Linked DNA regions of Alligator mississippiensis. Each later gene encodes a partner of the first gene's protein in a complex. Links are inferred from orthologs where the notes say so. Each region holds a gene or a part of one and is shown on either strand. Other genes may lie near its edges. The genes, in order: RHEB and PDE6D.

Evidence for each region.
Region 2: the proteins of RHEB (region 1) and PDE6D are in contact, whole or in part, in a crystal structure (PDB 3T5G), measured with the Homo sapiens proteins. The link is inferred for Alligator mississippiensis from reciprocal best matches to the Homo sapiens genes RHEB and PDE6D. Residues at the interface, in NP_005605.1 of Homo sapiens: Pro2, Gln3, Ser4, Gln57, Asp77, Gln176, Gly177, Lys178, Ser179, Ser180, Cys181; in NP_002592.1 of Homo sapiens: Ile53, Leu54, Cys56, Val59, Val80, Gln85, Cys86, Leu87, Glu88, Glu89, Trp90, Ile109, Glu110, Ala111, Ala112, Pro113, Gln116, Met117, Met118, Leu123, Tyr149.

Annotation. Positions count from the first base shown.
Region 1 is NC_081828.1:207,412,058-207,420,458, forward strand, and holds the start of RHEB (GTP-binding protein Rheb), read left to right. Parts: upstream 1-4,859; 5' UTR 4,860-4,874; coding exon 4,875-4,986; intron 4,987-6,614; exon of another isoform or gene 6,615-6,629; coding exon of another isoform or gene 6,630-6,639; intron 6,640-8,401. UniProt on the Homo sapiens protein: Small GTPase that acts as an allosteric activator of the canonical mTORC1 complex, an evolutionarily conserved central nutrient sensor that stimulates anabolic reactions and macromolecule biosynthesis to promote cellular biomass generation and growth.
Region 2 is NC_081830.1:84,860,577-84,868,397, reverse strand, and holds the start of PDE6D (retinal rod rhodopsin-sensitive cGMP 3',5'-cyclic phosphodiesterase subunit delta), read right to left. Parts: upstream 3,550-7,821; 5' UTR 3,417-3,549; coding exon 3,367-3,416; intron 1-3,366. UniProt on the Homo sapiens protein: Promotes the release of prenylated target proteins from cellular membranes. Modulates the activity of prenylated or palmitoylated Ras family members by regulating their subcellular location.

The DNA.
Region 1 (8,401 bases):
GCCTGTACTCGTATTTTGTAGTCCAGCTCTTTCCCTGTTCCAGAGACCTTGACATGGCCTGGTGTGAAGAGGGCAGTTGAAAAGTTTTTAGTAAAGGTGTTTTTTTGGGAGTTCTTGCTCCCAGGGCCTAAACAATGTTTGGGAGCTCAGAAATAAATCTGAGGCTGCCAGAAGGGGGGGAATCTCTTCTCGCTTCTTCCTCTTCAGTCTTGGCCTCCTAGAGATCCTCTGGCTTGCAGTAGTAAGGTGTCTTTGAGTAACAGGAGGGGAGGGAAGGGAAACCGTAGTATGTTAACTTAAACACTGCAGATTTGACATGCTCTTGAACTTACTTGATTTGACATACTCTTGCTCTTATCAAGACCCTGCATCACAGACAGACTTGGAGAAGATCTAGCAGTTTCAATCATACAGACCTGTACTAGGAAAATTGTTGCTGAGAAAGGTAGTAAGAGAAGAACTTAATAAATCTGAACGATTGGCCTGTGCTTCAAAGGGGCCACTTTGCAGCTCAGCTGGAGCACTACTGCAGTCCTTTGCAGCTGTTTGTGGCTGTGGCTACCTCTGGTTATTTCGCAAAACCTCACCTTTGCAAGGAGGTATAAGGACCCCAACTGTGGGAAGTATCTGGGTTCTAGTGTGGTTTCGTGCAGAGCTGAGCTGCTGTTCACCTTGCCACTTAGTTCTTATCCCTCCCACAAAAGCTGTGTCCAAAGCCCTAAGGCATTTGGGATGTACAAGGACCATATATGGGCTTGGCAAACCTCTGAAGGCTGGTGTTCTCTCTTAATGAAATTCAGTTCTCACCTGGTTGGTATGCATCATAGTTGTGCAAGAGCATGATTACATCTGACTAACTGTAGGAGTGACTACTACAAGTCTTTTGTCTCAGTATATCAAGTGAGGTTTTTCACTGCAGACCTTGTAAGGAGGGAAGTTCATCACATTTTTCTTCCTCCTGATATTGCGTTACAACTGTTATAAGGAAACTGATTCAAACTTGAGGGTGTTTGTATCTTTGATAAGGAGTAGAGCTGTGGGGAAATGTTGCCCCCCACATGTGCACACATTCCCAAGACTGTTGCCCCCCCATCTGGGAAAGGCAAAGGGGAAGTTGCTACTGAACTCTTCTGTGATCAGTTGGAAGGAGCCTGGCAGCATACAAGCATTCATTACATGCAGGCCCCAACTATCAACCTGGATGATATTTCTCCTGGAGTGAGGAATTGAACAAACACTTGTACACACCTAATTTCTATGGGGAGAGCAGCAATTCTCCCAGTAGAAATGTCAGGCATGTACATGGCCCTAGTCGGTCCTACATGGTACATGTAACAATGTAATATTTTTCTCAGTAGCCTAATGGGAGTTGTTAACAGTACAGTTGCATAGCATTGAAGCCCTTCAGCACCTTGTGGAGAATCTCTTGGCGCTTCCAAAATGCCATCCTATGATTGCCCTCGCTATTCGCTGGTTCAGCATTCGTGGTTTCAGATATTCACGAATGCTGAACCCTCATTTTAAATACACTCTGCGCTTTTGCCACTGCTGCCGCCACTCCTGCCACCGCCGCCATGCTCCCGCCATCACCAGCACAGCCAAACGCCATCCTATGATTTCCCTTTGTCATTTATGGGTTTGGCATTCACAGTTCCAAATACTTGTGAATGCCAAACCCATATCTTAAATATACTTAAGGGAGCTCCTCTGGAGCTCTGCGCTTGCTGCCACTGTGCTCCCACTGTTGCCAGCGCAGCCATGCCCTCCCCCCCCTCCCCCCCAGCTGCCGGGGCACTGCTTTCATAAACACAGACAGCATTCATGAACACAGTGCCTTATTCGCGGATTTCGCCGTTCGTGGGGGATACGAGAACGTATCCCTTGCGAATGGCGAGGGTCTCCTGTACTAGCTAGGGAACAAGGGTTTAACTAATGCAGGGTTGTGTTGGTTCTACCTAACCACATGCTCTGAGATGATCCCTCATCACTTCCCTTGTTGAAGAGTTGGTGTCTTCAGTTGTAAAATATTATTCTTCAGACTGGAGTAGAGAAATCATTGGTTAAATGTACACTCATACAGCAAACTAGCTATGTGAGTCATGATTTAATTGTCTGAAGTCCAATCAGTTGTGCTGAAATGGCTTTATGGATGACTTTATGGAATATAATTCAGTTTCCGCAAGGTACAGTGCTTAGGATGCTGCTTAGCATCCTGGGGTGCCTTGATCCTTTCAAGGGTGATGCACAAGATTAGCATTGTTGTTAGGTATGCAGACATGGTTCATGTGATAAACCCAGAGATTTCCAAAAGGAATCCCTTGTATTAAACCCATTCTGACCTTTTGTCATCTTCATGAGTTCTTTGCAACAGAAGAATTGTCCTTTTTTTCTGTTGTAAAAAAACAAGTGAAAGGTAAGAGCTGGCATCTTCAGAGAGGGGTGCCTTGGGTCTAAAAAAGTAGGCAACCTCTTTAACTCCTAAGCCAGTGGTACTCAAAAGTAGATGCTAACAACTGCAAATAGGCGTTCCATGTTTAAATGTTAAATTTTTTGAAATCCATCCACAGTTCTATCATAGTGGAGATTTGTAGCTGTTCTCATAGATATACCTCTACCGGTTTGAAATTGAACGGAGTAGCAGGAATAGTCCAATTCATATTCTTCTTCTTCCTGAAGGCTAGCTGCTTTATTTTGTCTCCCTTTTTTTTAGGCAATAGTCTGAGTTAGCCTGAGGAAGGGTACCGTGATCCTTGGAAAGTATAGGTGTACCAATACGTCGGTCTGATATCATATTGGTACCAGTATGAAGAAAACTGGCTGTATCAGATATTGGCTCAATAGGGCTGATAATTTGGCTGATAAATACCCGTGCTGTGCGCAGTTGCAGTGCAGGGCTCGGGCAGCGAGGAGCACAGCTGGCAGCATGGAGAGCTGCCTCCAGCTGGTAACTCTGGTGTAGTGGAAGGGGAGGGAAAAGGGGGCCAGGGGGGCAAATGAGTACACCCTGTGGTGAGGGAGGGGGCAAGTGCTGCCCAGGTGGGGGTTGGGGCTGGAGTGACAGCTTATGGGGGGGAGGGGAAGCGGTTCCCACTGCTTCTTGCAGTGTGGGAGGGCACAGGGCAGGGGTGTACCCCCCCAGATGTGCATGGGGCAGGGTGGGGCAGGCTGCAGCCAGGGCTTTTCTTGGCGGGGGCTGGGTTTGGAGCAGGCACCAATGGTGCTGGGAGGATGCTGCATCTACCCCACGTTTTGCAGCAGCTCCACTGCCAGCTGTCTGGGGCAGCCCCGGTTCAATGCCCTGCCTCCACCCACAAGCTGGGGCTGCGCTGGGCAGCTGACAGCAACGGCACTGGGAGCAGAGCAGCGGCGAAATTTGGGGTGGATGCAGCATCCTTCCAGCATCATTAGTCCCTGCTCTGAGCCCAGGACCTGCTGAGAAGAGCCCCACACAGCCCTGGCTGCAGCCCAACCTGCCATGTGCAGGTCGGGCTGCACTCCCCTCTCCCCCTCCCCCATGCCTTCCTGGGGTGCAAGCAGCAGCAAGAGCCACCTCCCGCCGCGCGCGCCCCCTCCTCCGCCATGAGCCGCAGCTTCGCGCTTCCCCCCAACCCTGCCTGGGCAGTGCCTGCCCTGTCCCTGCCCCCTCCCTCACCATGGGGGGGGGGTGTTGTGCCCTCCCCCCTTCCCTTCCACCACACCGGACTTACCAGCTGGAGGCAGCTGTATTGGAAATCAGATTGGTATTGGCCAATATGCCTCCTTAAATATCAGCTGTTGGTATTGGCCTCGAAAATCTCTATCAATGCACTCCTACTGAAAAGTAGGCCTGTGTCAGTAGGGAAGTATTTGATTTGGATTCGACCGATTTGGAGGACAGCGATTTGATTTGGAAATTTGGATCAGTGTCCTGAATGAATTCAGCTGAATCAGCTTTGGAAGATTTGGTGCTGATCTGAAGAAATTCGGTGATTCAGTTCTGCCGAGGAGAGGCCATGGGGGCTTCTCTCGCTGCTCCTTGGCTGTGCCTGCCTCTGCCCTTGTGGGGGGAGCCGTGGGTCCTATGCCCTGCTGCTGCTTGCCCGGCCGGCGTGGGAAGGGCATGATGCAGGCACGGTTCGCTCCAGGTGGCAGCAGGGCATAGTCCCCGCTCCCAATGCTGCTGCGCCCACATCAGTGCTGGGAGTGGGGGCTCTGCCCTGCTGCAGCTTGCCAGCTGGCACAGGAAGAGGGTGCAGCAATGCTAGGAGCAAGGGCTGTGCCCTGCTGCTGCTTGTCCCCTTATGTCTGGAGTGAGCTGTGGCCCCCCCCCACCTCGGCCCCCCAGCCTCCCTTCCCGAGTAACACGCCCCTCTGCCACGGCTGGGCCGCTTGTCCCAGCCCCAATCCCTCCCTCCCCCCACATCCCTTCCCTTCCCACCCTCCCAACCCCAACAGATTTACCAGCTGGAGGCAGCTGTCAGCTAGCTGCCTGTTGCGTCTATGGCTGAATCGGCCAAATCTCTTCCGAATCGATTTGGAGTTTTTACTCGATCTCCTGATTCAATTCGGTTTCGGAGATTCGGTCCCTGTATTGGGCCGAATCTCCTCTGAATCGAATCAGCTACCGAAGCTTCACACAGCCCTGCTGAAAAGCTTGTCTTTGTCTTTCCAACTATGTAGTTAGTCCAATAAAAACTACCACACAGAAGATTCTTGCCTTACCTTGAACAAGACAGTTATCCACTACACAAATTGTGGGTGAAGCTTAGTGTTACTCCCATCAGTAGCCAGTCAGAATCTCAATGACAGTTAGAGGTACACCGATATATTGGTCCCATGTTGTATTATCACTGATTTAAGAAAAATTGACATCAGCAATCAGCTTTTTTTGGCTGATGTGGTTGATTAATGTTGCAGATAAATGCCCTGTCCATGTGTGCAGCTGCAGCTCAGCATGCCAGGCAGCCAGGAGCACAGCCTGGCAGTGTGGACAACAGCATTCGCCTGGTAAGTATTGGCCAAATCAGCCATTGGTATTGGCCCAAAATATTTCTATTGGTGCACCCCTGATGATACAGGCAGTCCTCGACTTACAACGTTTTGAGCTACGTTTATAAATTGACACCCTGTTTCAACTTTATGACGTCAGTTTCGACTTTACAACACTTGATCCAATGCAACGCCATGCCAGCAAACAAGTTCGCTGCATTGCCCATCTCCCTGGAGAACATCTCTCCAAACTTCCTTGGACACTTTCTTTAAGGAAGCAGGCAAGACTCCAGAAAACCCTACAGCCAAGACTCGAGAAGACTCCAGCCAAGAACCCTTCAAAAAGTCCAACCAAGAGCTCTTCAAAAAGTCCAGCAAAGTCACCTCAAAGAAGTCCTTCCAAATCAATATGATTGCTATTTACAATATAAATACATTAATGTAGCTGTATTACTCATCTATAATTGATGGAGTACAAAATGTTTGGGTATTTTTGGTGAAAATAGGGTATTGGGCCTTGGTTCAGGAACCAATCCCCCATTTATAACATTGTTTCTTATGAGAAAATTGGTTCTGAGTTACAGCGTTTCGACTTAAGACACAGTTTTCAGGAACCAATCGTGTCATAAGTCTGAGGACTGCCTGTAATTAGAGGAATTTAAGAGTTACTAATTGGGGTTCATGCATTAAGTGTCCTTCCAGTCCCGCAAAGTATTCCTAGTACCTCATTGGTACTGTCTTTGTTGGTTGGACCAGTGACATTCTCACTGGAGTTTATCTGAGAGACCTAGGAGAACTCAACAGAAGTACAGAAACAAAGCTGTTGTCTCTGTTCGTTAACAAGACTCGGTATCCTAATCCTAGGAAGAATGCAGTCTAAACACCTGGAGAAAATCTTGTCAGTAAAGAGTTCAAGCTAACTCTGTAAAGCAGTAATATTCTTGGAGCCTCAAGCCTTCCTTAACAGGGACTGAAGCCTTTGAAAAAAGGGTGCCAGATGTAATGACCTAGGAGCCACTTACGAGAGTCCTGGCTGTGTGTAAATATATTGTGGTCCATGGTGGCACGCAAGTACAAAACTGTAGAATTTGCCTGTGGAGCATTAGGAGGACTTGCCAGGGGTTTTTTTTGTTCTTGAGAGCACTGAGCAGTAGTCTGCTGTTGCTGGGCTTGTCCCACTTTGCAAGGCTTTGGGAGAACTTGGGGAATACGTTCAAAGAACCAAATGTGTTGTTTCCCTTTCCCTTTGCAGTTCTTAGGGAACGGAGAGTAGTACTGCAGCATCTCCTAGTCCTGGAGAAAGTTTTAACCTAACTATTTTGTACATGGTATTTCTTTACTAAATGGTCATACTAACAGTACAGAATGTTGTGAGCAAAATTTTTAGTTTGGTGGGGGGGGGGGGAAGGGGGAGGTCTGGTGTGTTTTTAACACAAAACTGAATGTTCTTTCTGTCCTCCCACTTTTGTAAAAGCTCTTTTGGCTGGAAAAATAGCCAAATCTTGTTACAGATCCCTTTTATCTGATCAGTGTCATTTATGACTTCCTACACTTGAATAATTTTCGGTTCTAAAACCGCTTGTGTTTTTATCAGCCTACACTTCGGTGGCATGGAGCCTGGAAACATGAATCTTGAATGACTTCAAGAGTACTACTTCAGCATGCTACTTGGTAAAGCAGTAGAGTGGTCTGCTTTATATGGCGTTGGACATTTCAAGTGCTGTCTCCAAATATACGGTGTAACCTAGGAAGTACTGCATTTGGGCAACTGATCTGAAACCTCTTCAAAATTCTCAGATGTACCCAATTCAGTTCTGCCTTTATTTGGGGAGAACACCAGCAGAGTGTGTGAGATCACTTTTAAGTGGTTACCCAAGTACTCTTGTATACAGAGATCATGACATGCAAAATCTCTGAGCTCTTGATCTGTAACTTGACTTGAAATGCACTTGAGATATGACTCTCTCCTAAAGGTAGTCTCTGTATGTCAAAGCTTGGCTTGTGCAAACTGCAGTGACTTACTGGAAGTAATGAGTATGGCTGAATTTGTACATAGGAAGCTTACGGAGGCTACAGTTGTTCATCTCTAGGAAGGTCATGCAGTGGCATACCATTTTGGAGCTGATATTCTTACACACCCATTCCCCCCTAGTTGGCTATAGCCTCTCTCTTTCTACCACTATCAAAACCTACTTTCTTAATCACTGGGGTTTTTTATGAGATATCTGCCTGTCAAGTATTGGTTGACAATGTGTGTAGATGAGCTACAAGGTAAAGGGGATGGGAACTTGCTACGTTAACTACTCTTGGCAGCTCTCTTGGCGTCAAAGCTAAGATACTGCAATTTACTTTTCACCTGCTGTGGGGAAACTGTGTACAAATGAACAGTTACTAAAGAGCAGCTGGTGGGCAGAAAATCCCTGTGCCCTTTACCTTGCAGTGTGTTGTTCAATGATGTAACACAAGCTTTCAGCTTCTGGTTCAAAAGGGTACCTGCCAGCTTCTTTCACAATCTTTCCCATGCCGTGTGTTTAATGGGGCACGTGGTAAATGTGGTCTAGTGCAAGAGCCCCATGGACTGTGGAGTTCCATCAGCAGGGTGAAAAACTTGGGCTGTACTTTATTTGTCTTCTGAAGGTAAATTTGAGACAACCTATAGAAACTGGCACTTACACAGCAAAAGTAAAATTGTAGTATGGCCTATCCGCTGTCCTGGGATAGACAAAATTTTGAGGGTTTAACTCCCTCCCCCAGCCCCACATGTCAACTGATTCTTTTGCAAGACTCAAATGATTCATAAGGTTAGTGTCACTAAATTTGTTAAATTCTTGAATCTTCTATAATTGCTTTCACTGTTGGGTGCTAATGCATGTGATATACACAGTTAATCTGCTTTACCCTGATGTCAAAGCTTTAGTTTCCAGTCCAGTTAGTTTTTGATTGTTGGTTGGAGGAGTTCCTGCAAAACCAACAAAAGTTACAAAGGAGCACAAAAGGCCTAATTATAGTCCCAGAAATAGCAAACAGCCCCTTAACTGTCTTGTAGGATTATGTTATATTGTATTGGTAAATACTGCAGAACACAGGATTTGCTGCAGTAGAAATGGTGTTAACTTCCATGGCACTACTAAATAAATGTCTTGTTCCCCATGCTTAATAAAACTGTTTAGGCAAGGGTGCATAATGTCTTTGTTTCCACCTTCATGTAGTCTGCAACCAGATGCCCAGCTTGCTCAAATACTGCCTCTTATAGCACATGGCATCACTCAAATATGACCTTTGTGACGCTGCATTAATAGAGTTGAGGGAGTAGGAGCGGCTGTGCCTATTGCAAGAGGCTTTTATCAAGTCACTGTACAAGTGTTCTTTTTTCAGTTATATGGTTTTTTAACCGCTCAGAAAGGCACTTTATTGTGATTCATGGTTAATAAGG
Region 2 (7,821 bases), on another chromosome or scaffold:
TCTATTAAGTTGAGAGAACAACCTTGCCCCCTACATGAAAGCATCTCTAAGAGATGTATCCTGAACAAAGACACTCCCATCTTTTAGGGACTTGCTCCCCTTTTCCCTCCTATTAAAGAGGACAAATTAGCACAAATACCAGAATGAGTAGAAAGTTAAAGTGTTTCTTCAAACATAATGTTTCACACCTATGCAAAGGGCAATGCTGCAATGGTTTCCTTTGTAGGCGAATTCCTCCATGCAGACTTTGGATTTATGGGCAGCTCATCAGGACCCTTCCTCAGTTAAAGCAGTTCTTAACTAAACTTCTATTTGAAAAAATGACTTGCAAAATCTTTGCATGAAATCCCTGCTACCTCAAGAATTTAATAAAATTAAAAATAATACTCTACTAAGTACTTCAGTACTGACTTTTTTGGATCAGCCAATCTAATACTTGACTTTGTCTCCTCCCGTGGGGGTTGAATGTATTGTTTCAGAGTGGGTCAGGGCCCAGTCATTCCAGGAAGTGAACAAAGACTGAACTTGGACTGCTCCCACATGGCTGTACTAAGCAGTAACATTTAGGTTATTAAGCTGGCCCACTTAGGTAGGTTCAGGTAGGACAAATACTAACTATGTCTGCTGAAAATAGTGGAAAGTTACACCTGCACGACCTCCTCTTCCCCCCAGCCTTGAAAGGTGACAAAACACTTTACTTTGAGTAATCTTAACTATACACAGGGCTTAATTCATGCAACACTTAAATATAGCTGTGGCCAAGTTCCCTAGAAAGCAGAAGATACATGCGGTCCCTATACATACTGACCCAACAAGAATATCAATTTTATTTTGTGCTTGTTCATTTCTTAGAGTCCTTGGAGATTACTTAACAGATTCCTAGAGCCCTGGGGCTGGAAGACGGCTCCAGGTCACATCTAGTCCAACCCCTGCCTGAGGCAAGATCAGCCCTGTTCAAGCCATCCCATATAAATCCACAGTCAATCCTGATGCAACACAAGACGTAATGCCCTAACCTGCCACAAGTAAAGCCAACATCCTGCTGCAGCAAAGATCATTAATTGCTCAAGAGATCCCAAGTAGAGGACACACCTCCTACTATAGAAGGCAAAACTCCAACTGTCTGGACCAACCTAACCAGGGGGTAAAATTGCTTCCTGACACCAAATATAGTGATGTTAGACTCCCCACCAGCAGGAGGGGAAAAGATTCCTTTCCGACCCATGGGTCAGCCAGAAAAGCCCAAAAGCAAAGAAATCCCCACGGTACAGCATAGGCATCGCTACACCAGATCATCCCCAGCCAGTGGCTGTCCAACCTCTCCTTGAACCCCTCCAGCGAGGGAGTCTGCACCTTCCCTGGCGTCTATTCCTCTGCCTCCCTGCTCTGACAGTCAAGAAGTCTTTCCTGAAATCCAGCGTAAAGCTACTTTTTGTTTTGTCTTTGCTGCTGCCGGCAAGTTAGCTTGAACTTCTGACTAGCCTCTAATGGCCTTTGGTCTAAGCATCTTTCTGACAACTGAAATATCATACTGCATGCTTCAGGAAGATTTGCTGCTGCTACTTTGGAAACAAAAAAGGAAACTATCCCAAAACCAGATGGTTTGGGGGGTGAGAGGAGAGAGAAAGGACTTCATGATCTTACAGAGAGAAGCATCTGCTTGCCATTTGATGGTAGCCATTTGGCTAAATCCAACATCTAGAAGCTCGGATCCTGATGCAGCTGGTAAAGAGATTATATGTATCTCTGGTAAAGAGATTATATGCATCTCACTGCAGGGGAAGTCCCGTTAGGTAAAAACGGCATCCAAAAATACCACAGAATTACATCGCCCGTGTCTGGCCCCTTCCCCCACGCTGTCAGCGAGGAGCGGTGCAGCCAGCACCCAGCTCTGCCTCCTGCCCCTGTGCTAAGCATAGCCACAAAACCGGCATGCACACCTCCTTCCCCGGAGCCCGTCATGCTTGCGCTCCTCCTCCTGCTCTCGGGCTCAACCTTTGCTGCAACCTCGGGGAGGGAGCGAAGCCCTTGGCCAGCAGCTCTCGGCCTGCCACAGAGCAGTGGTCCCTTGCCTGGACTCGAACCTCCCCCCCACACACCTGCAGTCCCTGGACAGACTCGTGGCCTCCCAGATGGACTCATACCCCCACCCCAGATGCCTCCACCCAGGGGGGGCCATCAGGCTACAGCAGGGGCCACAAGTCTAAGGTACCCAGAACAGACTCACGGCCCCACAGATGGACTCACAGCCTCTGGATAGACTCGAGACCCCCAGAGAAAGACTCATGCCCCCCCTTGGATGGACTCAAGACCCCCACATCAGACTCACCCCCCCCCCCGCATTGGGCTTGCCGGCCCCTGCATTGACTCCAGATCTGGATGGACCTGAGACCGCCCCTCCCCCCAAAAAAACACTCGTAGCTTCCCAAATGGACTCATGCCCCCGCCATGAGTCCATCCAGGGGGGCCATGAGTCTATGTGGGGGAGGGGCAAGTATAAGACCCCCTGAACAGACTCAGGACCCCCCCCTCCCCCCACGCCAGACTCGGCACCCTCCAGTTAGACTCACAGGATCAACTCAAGACCACACTGGATGGACCTGGGACCCCCCAGAACAGGCCCTCCACCCCCTGGCTGGGCTCAGGACCCCCCTGGATGGACCCAGGACCCCCAGAACAGGCCCTCCACCCCCTGGCTGGGCTCAGGACCCCCCTGGATGGACCCAGGACCCCCAGAACAGGCCCTCCACCCCCTGGCTGGGCTCAGGACCCCCCTGGATGGACCCAGGACCCCCAGAACAGGCCCTCCACCCCCTGGCTGGGCTCAGGACCCCCCTGGATGGACCCAGGACCCCCAGAACAGGCCCTCCACCCCCTGGCTGGGCTCAGGACCCCCCTGGATGGACCCAGGACCCCCAGAACAGGCCCTCCACCCCCTGGCTGGGCTCAGGACCCCCCTGGATGGACCCAGGACCCCCAGAACAGGCCCTCCACCCCCTGGCTGGGCTCAGGACCCCCCTGGATGGACCCAGGACCCCCAGAACAGGCCCTCCACCCCCTGGCTGGGCTCAGGACCCTCCTGGATGAACCCAGGACCCCCAGAACAGATCCTCCGCCCCCTGGATGTGCTCATGGCCTCCCTGGATGGGCTCAGGACCCCCCTGCATGAACCTGGGACCCCCAGAACAGGCCCTCCGCCCCCTGGGTGGACACAAGCAGACCCCCATTAGAGACTCAGCACCCCCTGGACGGACTGAGGATCCCGCTGGACGGGCCCGAGCAGCCCCTCCCCCCACGAAGTGGGCTCCGCCCCCCCCCGCGCGGTCCCCATGGCAACGCGGAGCCCCCACCCTGCCCGGCGGATACAGCTTGAAGCCCCTCAGGATCTCCTTGGCCCGCTCGTCCTTGGCCGACATGGTCCCGCGGCGCTGGCGCCGCCCCGGGCGCAGGACAGGACAGGACAAGACAGGACGGGTCGGGTCGGGTCGTGCGGGCTCGGGCGCGGACCGCGGCGCCTCACAGCCCGCAGCCGCCACGACCCAGCCCGGGCGGGGCCAGCCAATGGGCGTTCGCCGCTCCGCCCCCCGGTGCCGGACGGACAGCGCCCACAGCCAATGAGAGCGCGGCGCGGCCTGGCAGCCAGCAAGGGCGGCTGCGCAAGTAGGGGCGGTGGAGGAGACACGCCCCCTCCCTCTTGGCGACCTGACGTCGCCGCGGGGATGGGAGCCGCAGCGGGACAAATATGTGCGAGGGGCGCGGCCGCTGGGGACTGCAAAGGGCGCGGCGCGGCGCCCCCTGCGGGCGCCACGTGAGAGTGCGCGAGACACGTGCGGGGCCCCGCTCTCGCACCATGTGCGATCCGCAGGGATCCGCGTTTTCCCTGATTTCAAAACATCCTCACTTTTCGGTTTAAAAAAAAAAAGGAACCCCAAATCCACATTTTCCCGTGATTAAATGAAAAGCCACTAATATAGAGATATAGACATAGTGGTCTTTAAATCATGGAAAAATGTGGATTTGGGGTTACTTTTTTTTTTTTTTTTTAACCGAAAAGTGAGGATTTTTTGAAATCAAGGAAAACCAGGATCCCTGGCAATCAGTCATAGTAACAGTGTTCAAATGGCCCCGCATTTTGGAGACAAGGGTCTTCGTGTAAATCTGATATCTTTGATTAAACCAACTCCAAGAGTTGGGAAAATTGTTCTTTGCAAGCTTTGGGGTAGAAAGCTGTCATTTTGGAGGCAGCTCCTTGGCGCAGCATATGCAAAACCCCAGTCACTCTCAGGTCATCTTTGCTAACTTTTGGGTTTGCGGCCAGCGTTTTGCTTTGCCTGGGAATAAAGAAATGCTTCATTTTTGATGGCCCAGCTCTCACTCACTTGGAGTCACACAGCAATGTAGAACAAAGAAGAAAGCTTATTTGCATACTTTTTCAGTGTATTTTGAGTTTCCAATGTAATAATTCCATATTTAAAACCTGGCAACGCCAGACCCTGTGTGCAAGCCATGTGCAGGGAAGGGTCCCACTGCCCCTTCCCAGGGGAGGAGGAAGCTCTCCCTTGGGACCCCTCCTTATTCGGTCTCCCTCTGCTGAGAGCAGCCCTGCAGCCAGGTGCTTCACAAGGGGCTGCTCCTCTGGCTTGGAGACCCTGGCTCCTCTCCACCTCTGGGAGCTCCTTCTTTTCCCTCAACTCCCAGGAAGCAGGGGGTGTTTTCTTCCTGTAAAGAAGCAGGGTTTGGGGGCACTGATAGTCTCCACCAGCAGAGCGGACTCTGCTCCATGACACGGGATGGGGATCAGGGAGTCACTGTGGATGGTTTACTAAAAACATTGCGTCAGGGCCCGGCTGCCGTCAAGAAGGCAAACACCACGTTCAGGAATATTGAGGCAATCGTGAACACAACGGAGACTATCGTGATGCCCCTTTGTAGATCCATGGGGCATCCACACCGTAAATATTGCACCCGGCTCTGGTCCCCACACCCCAGAAAGGATGCAGAAGAAGTAGGGAAGGGCGACACGGATGATCAGTGGCACGGAGGGGCTGCCATCGGGGGAGAGATTAAGGAGGCCAGGCCTGTTCCACTTAGAAAAAGAGACGCCTCGGCGGGGGTCGTGATAGGGGTTTACAACAGGGTGGGCAAAATACGGCTCGGATCTGGTCCACCAAGTGATTCTGTCCAGCCTGTGCTGGGTCCCTCTGTCCCACATAGTCCAGGCGTGGGGGGCAGCCTGGGCTGTGGCGTGTGTGGCTGGTCCTGCCGTGCCCAGGAGGCGGTGCAGTGGCTGATTCAGATTCACAGAAGTTTGGGGCTGGAAGGGACCTCGTGAGACCATCGGGCCCAGCCCCCCTGCTGTGGGCTGGATAGACTGCGGGGGTCAAATAACCCCAGCACAGTGTGCGTCCAGTCTCCTTTGGAAGAGCTCCAGGGTAGATTCATAGATTGTAAGGGGCCGGAAGGGACCTCAGAAGATCATCGCGTCCAGCCCCCTGCACCAAGCAGGAAAGATAACTGGGGGTCAGGCGACCCCAGCGAGGTGACCGTCATCTCCTCTTGAAGATGTCCAGGGTCGGTGATTGCACCACCTCTGGAGGGAGCTTATTCCAGTCTGGACACCCTGACTATGAAGAAGTTTTTCCTAACATTGAGCCTGAATCGATCTTCCAGGAGTTTGTGGCCATTACTCCTGGTTTTCCCCTCAGGTGCCCTGGTGCACGGTTGCTCACCGAGCCCTTGATGTACTCCCCTAGTGCAGCGGTAAGCTGCTACCAGGTCTCCTCTCACCCTCTTTTCCTCAGGCTGCAGAGTCCCACGTCCTCAGCCTTTCCTCGTATGCCTTGCCTTTTAAGACTCTGATCATGCGGGTGGCTCTTCTTTGGACTTTCTCAAGCTTGTCCACGTCCTTGTTCAAGTGCGATGCCCAGAACTGGACGCAGTACTCCAGCTGTAGTCTCACCAGTGCTGAGTAGAGCGGAAGAATCATTGCCTTGGCTTTGTCGGAGATGCATCGATTGATGCACGCCAGAGTACTATTTGCTCTGCTGGCTACAGCGTTATACCGCCGGCTTATATTCATACTGTGGTCTGTTATTACCCCCAGGTCCCTTTCATTCGTGGTGCTGGTCAGTTTGGTGCTGCCAAGCCTGTAGGTGTGTGGGGGTTGCTCGTCCCGAGGTGCAGCACTTTACATTTCTCGATGTTGAACTTCATCAGATTCCTGTCCACCCAACTTGCTAGCCTGTCTAGGTCCACCTGTATCTGTAGCCTATCTTCAAGCGTGACCACACTCCCCGGTAACTTGGTGTCATCCGTGAACTTGGCCCATGAGCTCTTCACCCCCACAGCCAAATTGTTAATAAAGACGTTGAAAAGTACAGGACCAAGCACCGACTCTGCCGGGACGCCGCTGCCCACTTCTTGCCAGGATGACACAGATCCGTTCACTACGACTGGGTTCTGTCCTGCGGCCAGTTTCTCACCCACCTGACTGTCTCGGAGTTAAGCCCACAATCCTCCAACTTTCTCAAGAGGACATTGTGGGATACTAGTTCAAAGGCCTTTCGGTAGGTAGGTGCCTGCACCAGCCCCACCCGGAGTCTATTCCAGAGTCTGGTCACACAAACCATGAAGTTTTTCCTTATATCCAGTCTGAAACCTTCTTCTAGGAGTTTATGTCCATTGCTCCTGGTTTTCCTCTGAGGCACTTTGGTGAATAGTTGTTCATCTAGCCCCTGATGCTCTCCCCTGATATATTTGCAAGCTGCCACCAAATCCCCCTGAAGTCTTCTCTTTTCTAAGCTGAACAGTCCCAGATCTGTCAGCCTTTTCTCGTATGGCTTGCTCTTCGGGCCTCTAATCATACGAGTGGCTCATCTCTGGACTCCCTCGAGCTTCTCCACATCCTTCTTGAGGGATGGCTCCCAGAACTGGACGCCTTACTCCAGCCGCAGCCTCGCCAATGCTGAGTAGAGCAGAAGAAAAACTTCCTTCGTTTTGTTTGAGATGCATCGGTTGATGCACGCCAGCGTATTGTTTGTTCTGCCAAATGTAGCATCACACCGGTGGCTCGTATTCATTTTATGGTCAATTATGAACCCCAGGTCCCTTTTGGACATGGTGTTAGGTACCGTAGCACCACCGAGCCTGTAAGTTTGTGGATTTTTCCTCCTCAGATGGAGCACTTGACACTCCTCAGTGCTGAACAGCATCTGGTTCTGGTCCACCCACCTAATTAATGTGTCTAGGTCTGCCTGGATCATCAGCCTACCCTGATGTGTGGCCACACTTCCCCACAGCTTAGTGTCATCGGCAAACTTTGTCAGTTTGCTTTTCACCTCCACATCCAGATCAGTGATGAAGATGTTGGTGACATCAATGATGTTGGTGGCATTCATGTGGTGGCAGCTCATTCTGCCCGGCTGTTGCTGCCAGTGTCACCACTGCCACCACTGCCAGACCCGGCCCCATTGCCCAGGCACCCCGGCCCATCCACCCTGCACGCACCACCGTGGGTGCTGGACAGAGCAGGCGGGCAGGTGAGGTCTTCATGGGGCCTGGCCCAGGACTGCTGCAGGCAGAGCGTGTTCAGCTGGGTAGATGGGATGGGGCCGCAGGTGTGCGGGGAGCAGCATCCAAGAACAGGACAGGCAGCCAGGGCTGGGGCTGGAGCCGAGATCATGGGGCAGTGACAGTACAGGGCCGAGGCCTGGGGCAGAGTCACGACCCACTCCCCACAGGTCCCTGTGACGGGCGCTGGTCCCGTGGGCAGAGACGTGTGGGGAGTGGATTGTGGCTTTGCCCCAGGCCCCAGCCCTGCCC